Elephas maximus indicus: one gene and its partner. The protein of the gene in region 2 interacts with the protein of the main gene of each other region in a biochemical or structural test. Links are inferred from orthologs where the notes say so. Each region holds a gene or a part of one and is shown on either strand. Other genes may lie near its edges.

What was found. The genes of interacting proteins can lie anywhere in the genome.
Region 1: the proteins of WWP1 (region 2) and DVL2 form a complex in vitro, tested with the Homo sapiens proteins (2 studies listed by BioGRID, with this or other methods). The link is inferred for Elephas maximus indicus from reciprocal best matches to the Homo sapiens genes WWP1 and DVL2.

What each region holds. Positions count from the first base shown.
Region 1 is NC_064837.1:13,617,534-13,628,190, forward strand, and holds the start of DVL2 (segment polarity protein dishevelled homolog DVL-2), read left to right. Parts: upstream 1-5,778; 5' UTR 5,779-6,035; coding exon 6,036-6,229; intron 6,230-9,101; coding exon 9,102-9,171; intron 9,172-9,473; coding exon 9,474-9,619; intron 9,620-9,746; coding exon 9,747-9,856; intron 9,857-9,979; coding exon 9,980-10,115; intron 10,116-10,615; coding exon 10,616-10,657. Other genes in the region: PHF23 (PHD finger protein 23), read left to right, coding at 1,114-1,147, 2,685-2,716, 2,876-2,968, 3,553-4,390, 4,492-4,706.
Region 2 is NC_064833.1:55,408,016-55,418,704, reverse strand, and holds the start of WWP1 (NEDD4-like E3 ubiquitin-protein ligase WWP1), read left to right. Parts: upstream 1-5,551; 5' UTR 5,552-5,754; intron 5,755-5,760; exon of another isoform or gene 5,761-8,447; intron 8,448-10,689. UniProt on the Homo sapiens protein: E3 ubiquitin-protein ligase which accepts ubiquitin from an E2 ubiquitin-conjugating enzyme in the form of a thioester and then directly transfers the ubiquitin to targeted substrates.

The DNA of each region.
Region 1 (10,657 bases), on a different chromosome or scaffold from region 2:
TCGCTTTGTTTTTTAGCTTTCTACAGGCATCATGGGCTTCAGTGGTGGGGAAAGAGGAGGAATGGGGACAGGCTGGAGGAATAGGAATGTATTGGGTTTATTCTGTTGGTGTTGCACTTCAGCTGCATAAAAATGTGCTTTGGTTATGCTATCTGATGGAAGGAATACTCCATCATTTCATGAAACTTCAGTTTTATATACGTGTGTATTGGGTCCTGATGTAAAAAATATATATATTTTTTCCTTTACCGTGGGTTCCTGTGAAGAAAGTTTGAAAGCACTTGCTTTAGATAACCCCATCCAAGTTTGTTATAAACATCTGGATTATGGAGAAGATTTTCGTTTGTGGGAGCTATTAAAAGAACTCTATCCTCAGTTGCATGTCACCTGGCCAGATTTTGTGCAGGTGTGTGTGATCCTGTGGAGTGGAAGCAGAGGGTGGGCGCTCAGCGGGAGGAGGGAGCCATTATCCTCAGGAGAACTTCGTCTCCCGGCAACCTCTTCTCCGCCTGGCCGGAAATGGGGCGGTCTCTCGGGGGAAAAAGACGAAGCGGAATGAGGCAGTATGGTGTCCGAGAATTCTAATCCCTTCTTCCTTATCTTTTTTTGGTCCCTCCCCGCCTACATTTCCCAGGGCCCTGCGCGTGCTTTTCCGCTCTACCCTCTAGCTCCCAATCTCCCCGCCACTCCCGGGGACGGAGGAGAGGAGGCGCTTAGTGAGCATGCGCCAATCCGTGGCTTGCTGGGAACTGCAGTCCTTGAGGCTTATGCAGTCCCCTTTCCGCTGTGTTAGGACAGACCACAAGTCCCTTTGTGCATTGCGCGTCGGCGCCGGCGGAGGGAGGGTGAAGAGAAAGGGAGGGAGGGAGGGAGGAGGAGGAGGAGAGAGCAGGCGGCCGGCGGCGCGGGGGGAGGGGGCCCGGTCCGGGAGTGCGGGAGGCTGTGGTTGAGGGAGGCGGCGGCAGCGGCAACGGCTAGCGGACACGAGTCACAACCGGACTGAGGCAGACACCTCCGTGGAGCAAGTCATTAGGAGCACCGAGCACCGGAGGCGGCACCGGGATCCCCGGCTCAGGGGAGGGGGGCGCCGGACCGGGAGGAGGGGAGGGGGCGATGCTGGAAGCCATGGCGGAGCCCAGTCCCGAAGGTGAGCTCTCGACCGGCACAGATCGCTGAGCTGGTGGGGGGCGGGCCAGGAATCAATTGGCAAACTTGGAGGTCGAGCCCCAGAACCCAGCGGGGGAGCGCGGGGTGGGGGTCGGGGTCCTGGCCCTGGGGGTGAAGAGCGACGAGTTGAGAGATGCTGGAGGAAGAGGAGTGGGAGACCGGATTGGGGATAGTTGGAGATCCGACGCTGTGTGTGGGGGGGAGGTGGGGGGTGGGAACTGAAAACCCGGAGCCTCGGGGGTTAGGAGCCGAAAGGGCCGCAGGCAGGTTGGGGCCTTGGAGCTGGAAGGTTGGGGGAATCTGGGAGCCGAGAGTTGTTGGGCAGGGAGGACGTGGAAGAGGGCTGAGCGAGGGGCGCGGTAGTTCGCCGAGGTGGGGGAGTTGGTGGTGGTGGTTCCCGAGCTCCCGGTAGTTGCCGCCAGAGACAGCCGGGTGATTGCTGGAGGGTTGGGCAGGTAGTTGTGGGGGGAAAGGGGGGCCTGGTATTGTCTGCGGAAAGGGGACCTGTAACGGGGGTAGTTGTGGAGAGAGGGCCGGGAAGCGAGGAGAGCTAGGTAGTTGCAGAGGGCGGTGGGATCGGAGGGGGGTGAAGACCGGCGAGTCGCGGGAGGGGGAACTGGCGAGGGTTAGAGCCTGGGAGTTGCGGAGGGTGATGGGGGGCGGTCGTGGTGGTTTCTGTGGAGGAAGAGAGTCGCTGATTGTGGGGGGAAGCTAGAGTTTAGGGGTCCGTAGCCTAGTGACTTGGTGAGTACGGGGGCGGAGGGAAGGCGGCCGGAGAGAGCTCGGAACAGGGCCCGGGGGCCCGGCGGGGAACCCAAGAAGCTCGAGACGGGGAGGGGCCAAAGCCCCGGATGGGGGCGGAGGGAGGGCGAAATTGTGGGGAGCGCGGTATGGGGGGGGCAGGTGGGGCCGCGTCCGGGTTAGAGCTCGCTGGTCCGTCCCGGACACAAAGTAGCGTTGAATGTGCGTGCGTGTGGGTTTGGGGTGGAGGGTGAGGGGCGCGCCGGGCCTCGTGCTCGAGTAGAAGGGGCCGGAGGGCGGGGAGCGGTTCAGCGTGGTCATCCCGGACTCGGGGGGCCGGCGGATGGCGTGAGGTTCCAGAGGGCTCGGGGCAGTAGAGTGCGCCTGAGTAGGAACTCGGCACGGTCGCCTTGTGAAGGACGGGGCGGGCGGCGCCCGGGTTCTGCCCTAGGAGCTGTACGGTGGGGTGGGGCGTTAAGAGATCCGAGTAGACTGGAGTCTACAGAAACCGTGAGTTTGGGGGGGGGAGGCGGGGCTCCCGGCCTCCGGTAGGGGGAAGAGGAGCGCTATAACGAGGCTTGGGAGGGCCCCGGGCCCAGGCTCCGCCCCTTGTGGGACGGGAGGGGAGCAGGGACGATCGGGCACAGCTGGGGGCCTGCCGACTGGCTGGGGGACCTGGGAGAACAGGGGGTTCACTTGGGACCTCTAAGGTTTAGAGGTGGGGATTTTAAATGGACTGTTCCAGGGCTTTGACTCAGCTTTTATTGCTTTCACAGATCCACCTCCGACCCTTAAGCCAGAGACTCAGGTGAGTTTTCCCCTACCTTTACACATCAGTATTTATGCTCTCCCCCACCCCCCATGCATCTCTTCTAGCTTTCCCACTTTAGGGATTCCGCCTTTGGGGATGCTTCTCTTAAAACTCCAGTCTGTGCCCTCAGTGTGATCCTTGTTTTCTTCTTTTCAGCCACCAGAGAAACGGCGGAGAACAATTGAAGATTTCAACAAATTTTGCAGTTTTGTTTTGGCCTATGCTGGTTACATACCTCCTAGCAAAGAGGTAGGGTCAGGAGAATAACTGGTTTGAGGATGGTGTCTTTGGATTCTTGGAAGGGCTGTTGAGTAAATGAGGTTGTGTTAGTTATATATGTAAGACTAGAGAAATTGGAAACGTGAGGGTTCTGTTGGGAAAACGAGTATTTGCGGGGGAGGATAATAGAGATAGGTGGCTTGGGTAACAGTGATGGAAGGGGCTCTTGGGTTGTTAGTCAAGATTTTGAAATGGTTTTGGGGGTACTGTTAATGGAAGGTGTTTCCGGATGAGTTTTAGGGAGGTGAAAATGGTAACAAAGGAGGCAGTACAAAAGTAGATTAAGAAATGTGCCTCTGATTTGTGGGAATACAGTATTTCAAAGGCCCTGGTAAGGAGCAGATAGTTAGAATTTGAAAACAGAGGTAACATGGAAGTGCTCAAGAACAGATGCTGATAGAAATTGGGGTCTGGATAAATTTTCTGAGTGAGCTTTGTTGGTTGGGGCAGGATATTTTGGGGGAGATCTAGTCCCTGGTTTTCAGGTTGGGTTTCTGGAGGGGCTTAAACGCCACTGGGCCCCCTGCTGACTCTGGTCTCTTTTCCCTGTTAAGGAAAGTGACTGGCCAGCCTCCGGCTCCAGCTCCCCATTGCGAGGTGAGAGTGCAGCAGACAGTGATGGCTGGGACTCAGCCCCCTCAGATCTCCGAACCATCCAGACCTTTGTTAAGAAAGCAAAGTCATCAAAGAGAAGGGCAGCCCAGTCGGGTTCCACCCAGCCAGGACCTCCAAGGTCCACTTTCTCTCGCCTTCAGGCCCCTGACAGTGCCACCCTGCTTGAGAAGATGAAGCTCAAGGACTCTCTCTTTGATCTAGATGGCCCCAAAGTGGCATCTCCCCTGTCCCCCACATCCCTGACACATGCATCCCGGCCCCCTGTTCCTCTCACCCCAGTGCCCCTTTCTCAGGGGGATCTCACCCAGCCTCCTCGAAAGAAGGACCGAAAGAACCGAAAGTTGGGGCCAGGAGGTGGGGCTGGCTTTGGGGTTCTTCGGAGACCTCGGCCAACCCCTGGCGATGGGGAAAAGAGGTCTCGAATCAAGAAGAGCAAGAAACGGAAGTTGAAAAAGGCAGAGCGAGGGGATAGACTCCCACCTCCTGGGCCTCCCCGGGCACCCCCCAGTGATACAGACTCTGAAGAGGAGGAGGAGGAAGAGGAAGAAGAAGAGGAAGAGGAAATGGCAGCAGTGGTAGGGGCTGAAGCCCCAGCCCCTGTGTTCCCAACACCCCCTGAGGCTCCTAGGCCCCCTGCTACAGGGCCCCCTGAAGGAGCTCCTCCCACTGACAGTGAAAGCAAGGAGGTGGGCAGCACTGAAACAAGCCAAGATGGAGATGCCAGCTCTAGTGAAGGCGAGATGCGGGTCATGGATGAGGACATCATGGTAGAATCAGGTAAGGGGGTTGAGAGCTGTTCAAGGGTAGCTGGGAGAATGGAGTTGGGGGTGTTGTGGACTTAAAAACTCAAGCAGAATATCAAACTTCCTTTTCCCCAGGTGATGACTCGTGGGATCTGATCACGTGTTACTGCCGAAAGCCCTTTGCAGGACGGCCCATGATTGAGTGCAGCCTGTGTGGGACGTGGATCCACCTCTCCTGTGCTAAGATTAAGAAGACCAATGTCCCTGACTTCTTTTACTGCCAAAAATGCAAGGAACTTCGGCCAGAGGCGCGGCGGTTAGGGGGCCCTCCGAAATCTGGAGAGCCTTGACATCACCAGTGCCAGGCTGGAACTTCTAATTGACAACATGACTTGGGAACTGAGCCTTGGGGTCCTCAGCCCATCCCCTGAAGCTTGGACATTGTCCCACTTCAAGGCAGGAACTCCCAAGGGAGACTTGCTCTGGAAATGAGGGTCTCATGTTCCCATCCTCCCCTTCCTCCTCCCCCTCCAACATCTGGACTTGAACGTGGACCCACTGCAGTTGAGGGCGAGAGGTTGTCTGGGTCCCTAGACACACAATCCCTGCCCATTGGACCTGCCATCCTTCACTTTTTGGGTCAGGGTTGGAATTGGGAAGGAATGGGGCAGCTGTCTATAAAACTCTAGTGTAAATATTAGCACCCCCTTCCCTCATCGTTTTTTCTCCTATCTCACTCCTCATTTATTTTCTTATACACCGGTTGTATTTTTAATTTTGGACTTCCCCTTTTGGGCATGGCAGCTCAAAGGTGGAGTACCAAAGTCTGGCCGAGAGGGGAAGGAAAGCAGAAAGGTGACATTTCTTTCATCTCTTGTTTTTAATAATATCGGCTAGCTGTTTGTACAGATGGCCCGTGTGTTGTAAATAAAGCGGAGTGGGCTCTTTTGTGTTCATAGCCCTTACTGTCCTGCATCGGAGGGAGGTTTTGGGAAAGATGGGAGAACGCCTCAGAGTCCCAGCTAGAACCGCCCCTGCTCCTGGGCCTTTCCCACCCAGGATGCTCAGGCCTCAGTTGGCATTGCCCCATCCCACTCCCTGCTTAGGACCCCCACACGCACACTCCAGTGGATCAGAGTTGCCTCGCGCTCCCAGGTGTGGTGGGACTGGCAGCCTGCTGCCTGAGGGCAGAGGCCCAATTCAGCCAGGGTGCTCAGAGGACGAGGGTGGGGACACTTTCGGGGGCGGGGCAGTTGAGGGTTGGGAGACCGTTGCTGAGGGCAGCGATCACGTGGCAGGGGCGCGAGGCGGAGCTACGCAGTCACGTGACTGGGAAGTGTCACGTGATCCAGGGACGGTGCGGGGGGAGCGTGGCGGGCCGAGTTAGGCCACGTGACGTGAGCAGAGGTGGGCGGGGCACTGGGGGGCGCCCGCGACGTCGGCGGCAGTGGCGCGCGGCGGCGGCGGAGTCCGCGTCTTTAGGTCGCGCCCCCACGGCCCGCCCCCGCCCCGGCTGTCCGCTTGTCTGACCCCGACCGTCTCCATCCCTTGGGCACGTCTGGGGGACTGGTCCGGTTCTGTGCCTGCCCGCGCGTCAGTGTGCGGCTGTGCGCAGGCGCGGCGGGGGTGCTTAGCCCCTTTGGGTGGGCGGCGGAGCACAGGAGCGCGCGGGCGAGACCATGGCGGGCAGCGGCGCGGGGGGCGGTGGTGTCGGGGAGACGAAGGTGATTTACCACTTGGATGAGGAAGAGACTCCCTATCTAGTGAAGATCCCCGTCCCCGCTGAGCGCATCACCCTCGGCGATTTCAAGAGCGTCCTGCAGCGGCCCGCGGGAGCCAAGTACTTTTTCAAGTCCATGGATCAGGATTTCGGGTGAGCGCGAGGCCTAGACTGATGGGGGCTGTGCTGGAGTGGATTAGGCGATATTGAAGGGCCCAGGTCTATTCTGGGGCATATTGGGATTTTTCTGGTCGATAGTGGAGTCGATTGTACTAAGCTGGGGGTAGATTGACTATCCCGGGACCAACGAGATTGTGCTTGACAAGGTTGAGGCACACGGAGCTGTAGGACAGACTGGGCTATCCTAAACTAGATTACAGAAGATTAGACTGTACTGAAATATATTAGGGCGAACTGGTTTATTTGGGGGTATTCTGGACTGTACTGAGCCAAGTGGGTCTGTCCTCTGGTAGTTCAGTATATTCTGAGCAGTTCTGTAGCACCCAGGCTATTTAGGGATATTCTTTTATCTCCTGATGTAGATTGGCCGGCCTTGGGGCAATTTTGGGGATTCTGGTGTGTATTAGGGCACACAGGGTTGTTTTGGACATTCTGTTGTGATTAGGTGCTGTCAAGTTGGTTCTGACTCATAATGACATCGTGTATAACAGAACGAGTTGTTAGTGGGCTCTGTGCTATCCTCACAGTAGTATGTTTGAGCCAGGTGTTGGCAGCCACTGTGTCTGTCTGTCTCATCGAGGATCTTCTTTTTCGCTGACTCTCTGCGTTGTAAAGCATGATGTTGTCCAGATATTGGATGTTTTTGTGTATAGTGATACAGACAGTACTGTACTGGGATCTTTTAGGCTGTCCTGAAGTGGAGTAGGCTATTCTGGAGACACTTAAAACAAAAACCAAACCCAGTGCCGTCTAGTCGATTCTGACTCATGGCGACCCTAAAGGACAGATTAGAACTGCCCCATAGAGTTTCCAAGGAGCACCTGGTGGATTTGAACTGCCAACCTTTTGGTTCACAGCCGTAGCACTTAACCACTACGCCACCAGGGTTTCCTGGAGACACTTAGACCATTCCCATTTCTAGTGGGGCAGACGTGGTTGTATTGGTTGTTCTAGTTTCTATTGGGGCAGACGTGGTTTTACTGGGTCAGAGTACTGGAGCAGACAGGGTTGTTGGGGGTCTGTACTAATACAGGGAGCTTTATTGAGAATTTCTAGTCTATATTGCTGCAGACAGCTATGTGTGGGCATGTTCTAGGCTGTGCTAGAGCTAACCTGGAGTGATTTGGAACATTTTGGATTATTCTGGGCTAGATTGGGACTATAAATAATGCGAAGTAAATCCTTTTGTGTGTAGAGCTTTTGGGACTGAGCCATCTACTTTCTCAGCCTCAGCTTTTCCGAAGGCAGGTTGGATTAGGCTGGGATAGCCTGGGTGCTACCTAGAGTGAGTGGTTAGCTTTGGGAGAGTGGTCCTGTCTTGGGAGTTATCCTGAGTTTCAATCAAGGTTCTTCAGTTTGTCAGCAGTGTAATTTTGGGCAATTTATTGAACTTTTGTGCCTTGATTTCCTCACCTGTGAGATGGAGTAAAACGTTTAGCAAAGGTGTACAGCCCAGGATATTCACCGAGTGGTAGTTATTATTAGAACTGAGGCTGACTAGTCCGTAAACTAGGTTATGGAATAACTCATTTTGGAGTAGGCTCGGTTATGTTGAGACTGGGTTAAGTTGGGAAGGAAGCGACATTATTCTGAGACAGATTGGTAGTGACCGAGCTGTTTTGACATGGACCAGGTCACATTCTGATAGCAAATGGCTTGAGTTGGCATATATTCAGGCTCACAAAACCATATTAGGTGAAGACAGGATACTCTAATTTTGGTGCGAGGGCATGTGCCTGAGAGAGGAGGAACCAAGAGGAACCAAAGTAGACAGTCTCATGGTTCATATATTCATTTAGCCAAATATCTGCTAGTACGTAATAAATGTTGTGTACAGTGCTGTGTGGTCAGAACATGGTGTTGAACGGAATAGACATTAATGATTTGATGTGGGGGTTGAGAAGAAGGTTAAGCCTAATTCGCCTTAAGGAACCCAAGGGAGAACTAACTCACCAGGCTGGACTTCGGGATTTGTCAGGATGACCTTTCCGTCTTGAGTAGATTGCTTAGGGCAGAGTTTTGTGTTAGGTGAAGCACAGGAGAATCAGAAGATGGGTTCCCTCCTCCTTGAGGCTTTCAGCCTAATGAGGAGGTAACTAGTCTTTGGTTTAACGGGCATTTTCATCTAGGCAAAGACAGCATGTTTGGCTAGATCTCTGGAAGTGAGCTAGAGAAAACTGAAGGAAAGCATGAGTGAAGGAGATGTAGGTGAGGACCAAAGCCATTTTGGGAAGAAGGTGTACGAAGAGCAGAGATGGAGGCTGGGGGATCTACCAGCAAGGCTCCTTAGGTTAGAAAGATATTTTCAGCTGCTGCGGTAACCATGACGGAGCCTTGGTGGCACAGTGGTTAAGCACTTGGTTGCTTGCTGAAAGATTGGCCATTCAAATCCACCAGCTGCTTTGCGGGAGAAAGATGTGGCAGCCTGCTTCTGTAAAGGTTACAGCCTTGGAAACCTTGTGGGGCAGTTCCACTCTGCCCCACAGGGTCTCTTTGGGTCAGAATTGACTCAGTGGGAATGGGTTTGGTTTGGGGGGTAACCATAGAAGATGGCCTTTACATTTGGGTGGAAAGGTTTAAATCAGACTGAGGGAAGTCTTTGGAGCAGCACTGAGCCCTTGAGGATGAGCTGGGAAGAGAAAGAAAGATTAGAGAAGGGAATTGAATTTGGAGAGTTTTCGGGTAGGAGGGAGCTGTTTCAGTGTAAGAGAAGAGGGCCTGGACAAGAGAGGAAAGCCAGCTCGCTTGAGCTGGAGGAAGATAGAGCAATGGCAGAAATTTTGAAATGGGGAGGGAGTGAGAGAGCTAGTCCAGCCTCACTGACCTTTATCTGGTCTCTCGGCAGAGTGGTGAAGGAAGAAATTTCCGACGACAATGCTCGCCTTCCTTGCTTCAACGGAAGGGTGGTGTCCTGGGTAAGGGACCCTGGTTCTGAGGGCCCAGTGCCTTCTGCATTGCCGAGCTCCACCAAGCCTCACTCTGTTTCTGCAGGGCTGCCCCTGCCTGGTTGTGGAAGCCCTGGCTTTGCCTTCCTACTCTTTTGGAGAGCTGGCTGGGGCCCCTCAGCCCACTTCTGGAGCCCCTCCTGTTAGCTGCTGCTTTTTTGGGCTCTTCTCCAGGCTCTCTCAGACCTTGTCCCCTTTTCTAATCCTTTCTCTTCCATCACGTATGCCCCACCTCTGAATAGATCCATTTCGTATTGTTTGCATCTTTCTAGCTAGTGTCATCAGATAACCCCCAACCCGAGATGGCTCCCCCAGCCCATGAGCCTCGCACAGACCTGGTGCCTCCACCTCCACCACTACCCCCTTTGCCACCAGAGAGGACCAGTGGCATTGGGGACTCCAGGCCTCCATCTTTCCAGTGAGTTCCTGGCATTCTTGAGTCCAGGGGAGGAGATGAGGTGGGGATGCTAGCCCCCGAGGAGGGGAATGGAGGATTTGGAGTCCTGCCCCACTGATGGGGGTGGAAACCATCTCTGCCCATCCAGCCCTAACGTCTCCAGCAGCCGTGAAAACCTGGAGCCAGAGACAGAAACAGAGTCAGTCGTGTCTCTGAGGCGGGAGCGGCCTCGTAGGAGAGACAGCAGTGAGCACGGCGGTGAGGGGGCCAGGCTCTGGAGGCTGGGCAGAGCAGGAGCTGGGCAGTGGTGGGGCCAGACCCTGGCCTTGATGGGTGTAAGGAGCATGAGGCATGATTCCTGAGGTTTCTGTTCATACTAAGGTGGGGGCCACAGGCCCAGTGGCCCCTCGAGGCTGGAGCGCCACCTAGCAGGGTATGAGAGTTCTTCCACCCTGATGACCAGTGAGCTGGAGAGCACCAGCCTGGGGGACTCAGATGAGGATGACACCATGAGCAGGTATGACTTCCCAGGGCTCTCCCCAGGGCTCCCAGCCCCCTTTCTTTCCTCCTCCCAGTCAATGTTGTCATTCTTTGTGTTGGCCCCATAACCTCTTTTGCTTGCAAGTGTTCCCCTTCTAGAAGAACAGAACTACCGAGATGAATTTACGTACATATGTGCGTACGTAACAGAGCGATTGATTGATTGGTTTAGCTAAAGGGTTTAGCTCGTGCAGTTGTGCGGGACTGGCAAGCCTGGAGGTCTGGTGACAGACGGAAGACTCATAGGATTGCAGGCTCATGGGATTGTGGGCGGTTGGCAAGTCCAGAATCTGGGGCATGTAATAGGCTGGTGGAAAGAGTGCAGAATGGAGAGAGCAATTTCTGCCAAAATACTTATAGTCTAGAGGCAGACCATAGCCTAAGCAGCTGGACTAGTATTTGGCCAAACCACTGGGCATCAAAGCCTAGCCAAGTTGACATAAAATTAACCATCACACGTTCCCAACCTCCTGTCAGGTTCAGCAGCTCCACGGAGCAGAGCAGTGCCTCCCGCCTCCT
Region 2 (10,689 bases):
TTTAAAACTTTCCCACAAAGAAAACTCCAGGCCTAGATATCTTCGCTGGCGAAAACTTTCAAACGTTTAAGAAATAAATAATAGCAATTTTACACAAATTCTTTCAGAAAATAGATAAGGAACACTTCCAAGCTCATTTTATGAGACCAGTCTTATCCTAATAACAAAACTAGACGAAGACATTATAAGAAAAGAAACCTACAGAACAATATCTCTCATAAGTTTAAACAAAAAAAACTAGGTCCCTTAAAATCTTTTTTAAAATTAGTAAAAAGAACCCAGCAATAATAAAAAGGGTAACACATCATGACCAACTGTGATTTAGCATAGGAATGTAAGGTTGGTTGAACATTTGAAAATCAAGTTAATTCATCATACCAATAGTTTAAAAATGAAAACAATAACAACAACCAATCATCTCAATAGATAACAAACAAAAAAAAGTATTTGATAAAAATTTAAAACTCATTCATGAGAAAAACTCTCAGCAAACCGGGAAAAGAAGAGAACCTCGTCAACCTGATAAAGAGTATAAAACAAAAAACTTACAAATAATACTATTCTTAATGATAAAACACTGAATGCTTTCCCTTATTGAAGCCCCTGCAGAGGCTTACCCTGCTCCTTCACGGTTCCCTGCAGTTTCTAACTGCGACCTGGCCCACAGACCCTAATCATGGTTTGAATTTGGCACCGAAATCCCACACATGCACAAACAAAGATCTTGGCACATGCACAGGACCTGAAAAGCCATGGCCCCGAACTTGACCTTGGACTTGACCTTCGCCAGAGAGGAAGATGTTCTCCTGCACACAGCTGCAACCAAGCCTGTTTGCAAAGCAAGATGTCCTTTCCTTTGCTAAATGACTCAGCCCCTGGATTGACAAATATGGACATGAGAGGGACTGGGGTGTTGGATTTGGGGTGCCAATCCCACCCCCTAGGGACTGGAGGGCATAAAAGCTCCAAGCTCCCCCGGGGCTGGGAGCCTGTGGTCTTTTGGCTGCCAGACCTCACCTTGCTCCTTGTTTGTGCAAGCAATAAATTTCCACTTTGTTTCCCTTGCAACTGGTGGTGTGGTATCCATCTTATTTCTATCGGCTAATAAAACAGGACAAGACCAAGACAAGGATATCCTTTCTCACTATATCTGTTAAGTACTGAAGAAATACAACTCTCTTTATTAACAGAGACACAATTGTATACATGGCAACTTCTAAGAAATTGACAAAACATTACTAGAACTAATAAGTGAATTTTTTTTAGCATATAAGGCCAATATTAAAAAATCCCATGTAAGGCAGTAAAAAAAAAAAAAAAAAAAAAAATATGAGCCATGGATATGAAGCATACCCCTACCCTTTCACAAACACATGCAGAAGAGGAAACTTTTAAGGTAGGAGAGGGGAACGGACACTTAGGTTAGTGCAGGGCTTCTCAACCTCAGCACTATCGCCATTTTATACTGGATAAAACTTTGTTGCTGGAGGGTAGAGGTGGAAGGGGAGTGTCCGGTGCATTGTAGGATGCTTAGCAGCATCCCTAGCCTCTGCCCACTAGATGCCACTGGCAACCCCACCCCGGGCTATGACAATCAGTATGTCTCAAGACACTGCCAAATGTTCCCTGGAATGCAAAATTGTTCCTGTGGAGAGCCATTGGGTTAGTGTATTTATTATTTATTGCCGCATAACAAATTTAGTGGCTTAAAACAATAAACATTTTTTACCTCACAGTTTCTACACATCTGAAATTTGAGAGCTACATAGCTGAGTAGTTCTGGTACAGGATATCTCTTGAAGTTGCAGTCAAGATGTCAGCTGGGATTGCAGTCATCTGAAGGCTTGACTGGGGCTGGAGGATCTGCTTCCAAGATGTCACACTCACAAGGAGACTCAGATCCTTGCCGGTTGTTGGCAGCAGGTCTCAGTTCCTTTCCACATAGGCCTCTTCACAGGGCTGTTTGATATGTTCTCACAACATGGCAGCTGCCTTCTCCCAGAGGGACTGATCTGAGAGTAAGAAGTCAAATGCCTTTTTATGACCTAGTCTCAGAAGGTACACAGTCACCTCTGCCATATTGTATCCATTGGGAATTGGGCTCCACTTTTTGAAGGGAAGGAGCCCTGGTGGCATAGCGGTTAAGAGCTATGGCTGTTAACCAAAAGGTCAGCAGTTCAAATCCACCAGCCCAGCCACTCCTTGGAAACCCTATGGGCCAGTTCTACTCTGTCCCATAGGGTCACTGTGAGTTGGAATCAACTCAACAGCAACCGTTTTTTTTTCCGAAGAGAAAAGTATCGACAAATTTGTGGATATATTTTAGAACTTCCACAGCTAGAAAAGAATTCTCTAACACGTTGAGGAAGACTATGAGAAAAACTATCTAGAGAAAATAAAAGATCATGCTAAAGGATTAAACTACGTAAAGGGAAAAAGCAAAATTATCAAACAAGTAGGGGAAAAAAAAAATGCAGATAAATTATATGACCTTAGAATGGAAAAGGACTTGTGAAGCAAAAAATAAAGGAAGAAAATAAAAATGGAAAACACTAATAGGTTTAACTAGGATCAATATCTTCATTATACAAAGCATCCTTTTGTGAATAACCTAGTAGGAAAATGGACAATGGACCAACAATAAGATACCATATTTGCTCATAAGAAAAAATGCCATGATGACTTCAGTGCAGTGAAGAAGAACAAGCATATTCTCTCATACAGTGCTGTGGGGAAATTCATAAAAACAATTACAACGATAATAATTTATTGACTATGTGTTACACTTATATGTTACACAGCCTTAAGTATTTTACATGTAGCAACTCATTAACTTCTTGCCATCATATGGTAGATAGCATTATACCAAATTTTTAGTTGAGGCCCAGTCAGGTTAATTAATTTGGGCAAGTCTTATAATTTATAGGTGGCAGCAGGGTTATCTTATCCATTAGGCACAATAGGCACAGTGCCTCGGGCCTGTAATACTTTTAGGGGCCCATAAAAATGTTTTATTTTCTTTCAAAATCAGAAGGGAAAAAAATAAACATTTAAGTTGAAGAAAACAGTTTAATGTATAATGTCACTATATTTGTCTTTGTACCAATGTTGTGTAAAACACAATTTTTAATACAATTTATGGAGGAAGAGGCCCACATAGGCAAAAGTGCCTACAGCCCATAAAGTCAGAATGTGGCCATGGGTGGCAGAGCTCTGTTTTGATCCTAAGCCTAGCCTATTTCTGGAAGGCAACTTGCCAATATGTTTCAAAAGGACTAAAATTGTTCATACCTTTTGATTATTGTTAGGAATTTTATCAAAGGCAGTAAATAAGGATGTGGATAAAGATTTACAAAAACATATTTATTTATAATAGTGTTATTTGAAGCCACACAAACATTTGCTAATAAAAGTCTGGTTTAATATTGGGTGTCAACATAGGGGCCAGGGTTAATATTTCTACACGGAACTGAGCTGTACGGAGCGGTGTGTAATCGGGGAATCTTTAAGCGAGACACAAGGGAGCAGGCAAACAGAAGGAGGCCTGTATACATTCTCAAGATGGAGACCACTACTGGGTATTTTTATGGAATTTCTAAGAGAGTTCTTGTAAGCACCTGTTTCAAGGGACTGGAGAGGAAAAAGATGAGGACAAGGTCAGACCAAACATTATGTGTTAAAGCAGGGGGATGATGGGTGTGCACACTCCAGGAACTGGAAAATGTTTGTCAGAACAGGAGGAACAGAGCTTGTGGGCAATAAAGAACTCTTGACTGTCATGTTGATCTTTGCCTTAAAAGTTCTGAAAAAGCCCATGGAAGATTTAAAGCAATGGAGTGGTAAGCTCAGAGGTCTATCTTAGAGAGGTCATTGTGGATACGGTGAGAAGTCAGAGGGCAGGAATTAATGCAACCAAGGGGGAGTGTGCATGCATGCCTTCATGAAGAGATATTTATTGAATCCTACAAATATTCATGGAGTGTCAGTTCTTGGTACGTAACCAAAGAAATCAAACCCATCGCCGTGAGTCAATTCTGACTCATTACAAACCCATAGGACACAGAACTACTCCAAAGAGTTTCCAAGGAGTGCCTGGTGGATTCAAACTGCAGACCTCTTGGTTAGCAGTCGTAGCTCTTAACCACTATGCCACCAGGGTTTGTATGTAACTCTTTTGAAAAGATTAGTTATGAGGGAAGAAGGGAGAGAACTGGAGGGTGTTTTAAGGTCAAGAAAGAATTTAAGACAGAGGAGTCTGAAACGTGATTATACTGAGGAGCTGTAGCCAATAGAGAGGGTGAGGTTAAAGACTGGTCACAGGAGGGAGGGGACCAGTGGAGAAGTTGGCTTTGGAGAGGAGCAGGGGCCCCAAATCTCTGAGACTGAAGGAAAACAAGTAAGCGTGGGTGTGGATGTAGGTAATTTGTGGAGGTCGGGTGAGGCGATTGGGCAAAAATTGTAGAATTCCATGCCTGATGGCCTTTGTTATCTTTCTGAAGTAGAAGGCCAGGTAATCTGATCAGAAATGTGGTCACCACTGACTTCTATTTGAAGGGTGACTTTCTTCTGAAAGCTCGACTGGGGTTGGAGGATCTGCTTCCAAGTGCCAACAACACTCCTGTAAACCAGCTGACTCGTTTGTATAGTGCATATAACGACAACAAAAAGTTGCTGTTGAGTAGACCCAGACTCATGGTAACCACATGTGTGTCCGAGTAGAAATTATACTCCATAGGGTTTTCGATGGCTGATTTTTTGGAAGTATATCTCCAGGCGTTTCTTCTGAGGTGCCTCTGGGTGGACTGGAACCACTAACCTTTTGGCATTGGCCATTTGCACCCCCCGCTGGATAACAGAGTCTGCCTTATAGGATTGCTGTGTGGATTAATTGTGCCAACACACGTACTTGCTCCATAAGTATTGGCTTTAACGCTGGGCTGATGTGGGGGTGAGGGAGTAATGTTTTGATTACAGAACTAATAAAATGGACTGGAGGTCTTCTGCTATGACTTATCTGTTAAAAGCAATTTACTCTTGAAACGGGTTTTGTGTCAAACATTCAGCGAGGAGTATTTATTAATAGCCTATTTTGCCGTAAAGCATTCAAGACAAGAACACCAGTGCCCCCGAGGAACTTACTTGAGGTCACGCACCCCGTTATGCTAAGCACAGTAAAGTCAAGTCAGCAGTACCCGCCGCCAGTTTGGGGAAACCTCTTCCCAAATCTCGGCGACGGCACCGCCCCTTCCACAGGTTCAGGCCCCACCCCCTTCTCCCTCTGGCAGGCCCTCCCACTAGACCGCTCCGAAGACCCGGAGGAGCGGAGTTTTCTAAAGGCATCATCGGGGCGCCCTCGCTGCGCATGCTCGCGAGAAGCCGGATTCCGGGTCCGGAGTTGGAGGCTTTGGGTGGCCGCGGCGCAGCGCGCGGTGCCGGGGCCGGCGGGGAGGCGCGCGCTCGGAGCGCGGCGCCGGTGACGCGGGCACGCGGCGCGCTCCCGAGGAGGGAGGTGTGGGGTCGCCTGGGGGTGGCGCGTGGCCGGGGTGGGGTGGGGGGAGGGTCGGGTGTCGGCGAGAGCGGCGTGCGGGTTCCGAGAGGCTGCAGGCGGCCTGGGCTGCCAGGGCCGACGCCTGGGTGGCTGTCGCCGCCGCGTCTACTGCGAGATGGCGATCTTGGGCGCGGAGGGGTGAGGGCGCCCGCCGCAGGAGGAGGCGCCGCTGCCGTGGCCGCCGGGAGCCGACGGCTTCGCGCCGGGTAAGGACGCCGCGAGGCGGGGGGCGGGCGGCGCGGCTGCGGGCCCCGAGCCTTAGCTGCGGTCCCGGAGCCCGGAGCGGCCAGTGCCCGGGCGGGAATCTCGAAAGGCGGTCGGGTGCCGGTCCGCGCCGTCCTGGCCGCCTTCTCCAGCCCGGGGACCGGGAGTTTGCTGGGGTGGGGTCACGGGTCTTGCCCCGAGTTGTAGGGGCAGAGGCAGAGGCCTGTGCTGGCTGATATTGGAGCGGAGCGAGGTGTTTCCGTGACCCTGCAGCCGCAGTTCTCAGGCTCCACTTCACCTTCTTTCTACCTTCTCTTCCTTTCCTTAACACCTCCCCTCTGAACACAAATATGTGGACTTTTGCCCGTGCGCTGACTTTCACCGCAATTCAGCCGTTTCAAAACCAGGACTCCAACCTTAGAACGTCTTTTTCTGACATGTTCTTAAGACTCCGGTTCTTCACTGGCTCTGCACCTCCCCCCAACACAACCCCCACCTCCACCTTTGTGACCTGGCAGGTCCCAGTGACCTTGCAGTTTTTACAGTCCTTATCTGTGATTTGGACCCTCTCCTTTCATTCTTATCTTTTTATTTTGTAGTTTGCCCATTGCTTTTACAACCTTTAAATTAGCAGTGTGTGAACAGTGCTTTCTTTACTCCATCGATTTGGAGTTGAGCTTCCTTTGCTCCAGTAATAATATGACGCCTTCATTGTCAAAGAAAATAAGTATTATTTTGCAGTTTTTACTTCTGGATAGAATATTTTTCCAATGGCTTGATTGGGTTTCTGCTTCTCTTTGAGAAGTCTAACCTTTTTTGTGTAGGTCAGTGTGCAAAAAGATTTGAGTGTCTGCTTGAAAATGCTGTTGGTAATAGTTGTGGACAAGAAAATGTCCAAAGTTATCTTTTTTTATTCCTTTTGTGTTTTTGCCTTGAATACCTGGTTTACAGTTGTCTGCAAGAGTTCACTTATGTATAAACCCACTTTACCACTCACTAAGGCCCTACGTGTATTATACAAGCAAGGTGCACCATGTATTGCACCTTTTAAAAAAGAATTCATTCATGTGATTTGTCTTTAGCCATAAAGTAGTAACCTAGCAGTGACTGGAAATGCTCATTTTTTTATAAATAGTTAATATTTTTTAAACTAAAAACTTAATAGCTAAGTGTTGAGAGCTACACAAAATTCTTTGGGACGTAGTTTATTAACATTTTCAGATAGTTCTTCCCTTAAAATGCATAACTGCCTATAAGACCTATGACCCCACAGTTTTGAAAAGCAGTAGCTAGTTACATTTTTTGGAAGCCTAGCATGATAACCAAAAGCAAACCCATTGCCATCCTATAAATTCCGACTCATAGTGACCCTGGAGGGCAGAGTAGGTGTCCAAGGCTGTAAATCTTTAGGGAAGCCGACTGGCACGTCTTTGTCCCACACAGTGGCTTGGTGGGTTCAAACCGCAGAGCTTTTGCTTAGCAGATGAGTACTTAACCACCATACCACCAGGGCTCCTCTGGCATGATAGAGGATGTCACAGATAAGGTTTTTACCTTCAAAGAGATCATAATCTTTGCTCTTTACCCCATGCTGGCTGGAATTTCTTTTACTTTCTTGCACAATTATTAAGCATCTACTGCATGACCGCCAACCTTTTGGCTAGTAGTCAAATGCTTAGCCATTTATGCTAGCCAGGGACCTTTTGTACAGGAATAGAGGGTGATAAAGCTTGAAGTAAAAATTTGGGCTAGCTTATGGGTTGTTTTTAATGTGACCTTGAATTTAGTAGGTGGTTAAGGTTTCACAGGTGATGTTTAAGTTGGGTGTGAAATGATTAAAGCTCTGTTTTAGTGGTACTAATCTGGCCGCAGTGTGAATTGGACTAGGGAGAGCCTGGAGGTAGAAAGACCTCTCGATTGCTGTGGTCATAGCTAGCAAAAGTTTTGCACTTTGCCAGTAATGGGAATGGAAAGGAGGAAGGGTGTAGAACAGACAGAACTTGATGATGAGAAAAAAAATGAAGAAAGTAAAATGTTAAACTAAGATTCTGACCCAGGTTAGTTGGGAGAGTGGTGGTATCATTTTGAGCATATCCATGTAAGCTTTTACCTTTTTTTAAGCAGCATATGTTTGTTATTTTATGTCAGTAGTTTACTGACCTTTTTGGAATAACTGACCTTTTGTGAAACTAAAGAAATCTGCTGGACTGGAATATCCCTATTTGTACCTGCACTTTGTGGATATAATTTCAGAGGAGTCCGTGAACCTAGTGAAGCTCATCCATGGAACCCATTGGACAGGTTTGGGTGGAGGTCAGCTCTCAGAATTAACCTGGAATCTTTTTACAATGGTAGAACTCAGCTTCCCCCATCCTGGCAAGAACCTCTACAGCAGAGAGGATTGCTTAGAGACTTATCTCCTCACACTTGTGATGGGGTTTACAGTTTACATAGAATTTTGACTCACTTACTTCTTTTATATTACAGAACAAACTAGCCCAAGAAGCTAAATGATCTACCTTAAGTATTTCAATTACCAAGTGGGCAAAGTGGCATCACGAGTCACTTGACAATGATGATTTTCTTTCTTGTATGAAGAGAATGCGACTGATTGACCATCGGTTGGATATGGTTGAATCTGGGAGGTTTCTTCTAGTTTTTAACATTTTTGTGATTCTTGGATCTTAGGTTTTCGGTAAGAGCATCTGTACCCTTATTAAATGCCCTCCCGCCCCCACACCCTTCCCACTCCCACAGGATTAAGTAGCTAAGTCTTCCTAGCATGGTTAAAGCATAATTTGATTAGTAAACAGTTGATTTTTATGCACCTATAACATTTTCTCCCTGGTAGTAGGGAACCAAGGAGTCCCTAGGTGACACAGCAGTTAAGTGCATGGCTACTAACCGAAGGGTTGGAGGTTCAAACCTCTCCAGAGGCACCTTGGAAGGCTTGGTGATCTGCTTCCAAAAGGTCACAGCCATGAAAACCCTATGGAGCACAGTTCTACTATGAAGCACATAGGGTCACCATGAGTCAGAATCTACTGTATGGCTGCTGGTTACTGATTTTAGTAGGGAACCAGACCAAATTATTATTCGATGTCTTCTGTAGCCCTAGAAACTTTGATTCCTTAATTAATAGAAAGATTGTTGTCTTTTTTACTCTTTCTATAAAAATATGACATATTTGTAACAAGCAGCAGAAAAACCAGTAAATTCCTCTTTGTGGTAGTATCCAAGGAAGTAGTTACTAATACTTAATGGAGGAAAAATGTCCAAGAAAAAGCACATATATGGATGAATTTTACTTTTTTGCTGGCGTTAAGAAAAATATTGTACCTTAGTATAGCATTTTGCATTTTTTTTACAATGTTGTATATATTTTATCATTTGATTCTCATGATAACTAAGCAGTAGGTAGGTCAGTTGCTTTTTAGATGAGCACACTAAGGCTCAAACAAGTTAAAAAATTAAATCTCCAAGGTACGTGGTTAGTAAGTGGCAGAACTAGAACGAAAACCCAAGTATTTTTATTCCTAGCTTGGTGTTCTTTTTCCACTAAACTACTGACTCATCATTTACAAGGGAAACTTAATTGAGGGTTATATGTAAAGAAATTTAAATTTACCTGTTTGAATCTGTGTTAGACAGTTGTACTGTGTAGAGCTGAATTTGTAATTTTTTCTCCTTTGTGTTAAAATGGTAACCTCGTTGTAGTGGTTGTTGGTAGGTAATTTTGACATTTATCGTTCTAACAAGGGAAAGCAAAAGTCGATTTCTCGTCTAGATAAGTACATAGGTGAAATGCAGATACTAATTTCTCTTTGAAAATCTGTCCATTTTAATTCTACTGCTTTTATTGATGCAGTTTACTTACCTTTTATCAAAGTCTACTAAATGAATAATTTCTTTTATAAGGATCGGCACAAAGCTTGTTCCGATGAGGCAGAGATTAAAGAGGTCCCAAATATCCAACTTTTCCAAATTCTGTTCTACTCCATCATCTCTAACATCAACTATCCCTCACCTCCCAGTACTCTCCCACCCATCTTTAGGTTCCATAATTTGTTGCAGTGTCTCACAGAACTCATGAACCATATCAAGGAAATGGGTCACGTGATTGTGGAGGATAGCAAGTCCCAAATCCATTGGCCAGGCATAGGCTTCTCCTGACTCATGTGGCTGCAGGTACCAATGAACCCAAGTTGGCAAGCCAGATGACAGATTACTGGCCCACAGAGCCGTGGAAGCTGTTGAATCAGGTCAGACAGTAGGCTGCTGGCCCACAAGGCTGTGGAATTTGGTGAATTCCAGAAGTGGCAGGTCGAGGGCTGGCCACTGGCTCAAGTCCCAAGAACAGAAGTCAGACAGTGACAAGCTGCGTGCCGGATCCAAATGCAAAGAGTCCTTCTGGAAGGTCCACATATATACATTGCATGGAGGCCACACCCCAGGGAAGGGCAGAACTTGAGTAAGGGTGGGGTTTGAGCCACACCTTCCTGCAAGGCCATGACTCAAGATACACCCTATGCTAATCCTGCCCAGTTAATATACAGGGGTTAGGATTTATAATACACAGGAGGTGGAGAATTAGGATAATTACATCAGATCACAAAATGGAGGACAGCCACACAATACTGGGAATCATGGCCTAGCAAGCTTACACACACCACCACCCACCACACCTCATTAGGGTTCCCACACACCACCACCCACCACACCTCATTAGGGTTCCCACACACCACCACCCACCACACTTCATTAGGGTTCCGTGTACTTTAGTTGCATGGCCCCACCCAATCATTGTGTGGGAGTTGCAGAGACTGTGGCTTAGAAGGGCCATATTAAGTGATTCACTATACCGCATCTACATATGAAATTTTGTATTTATGAAGCATATAAATCAGGATCTGATCTCTGAAAGTAACTATCATAAT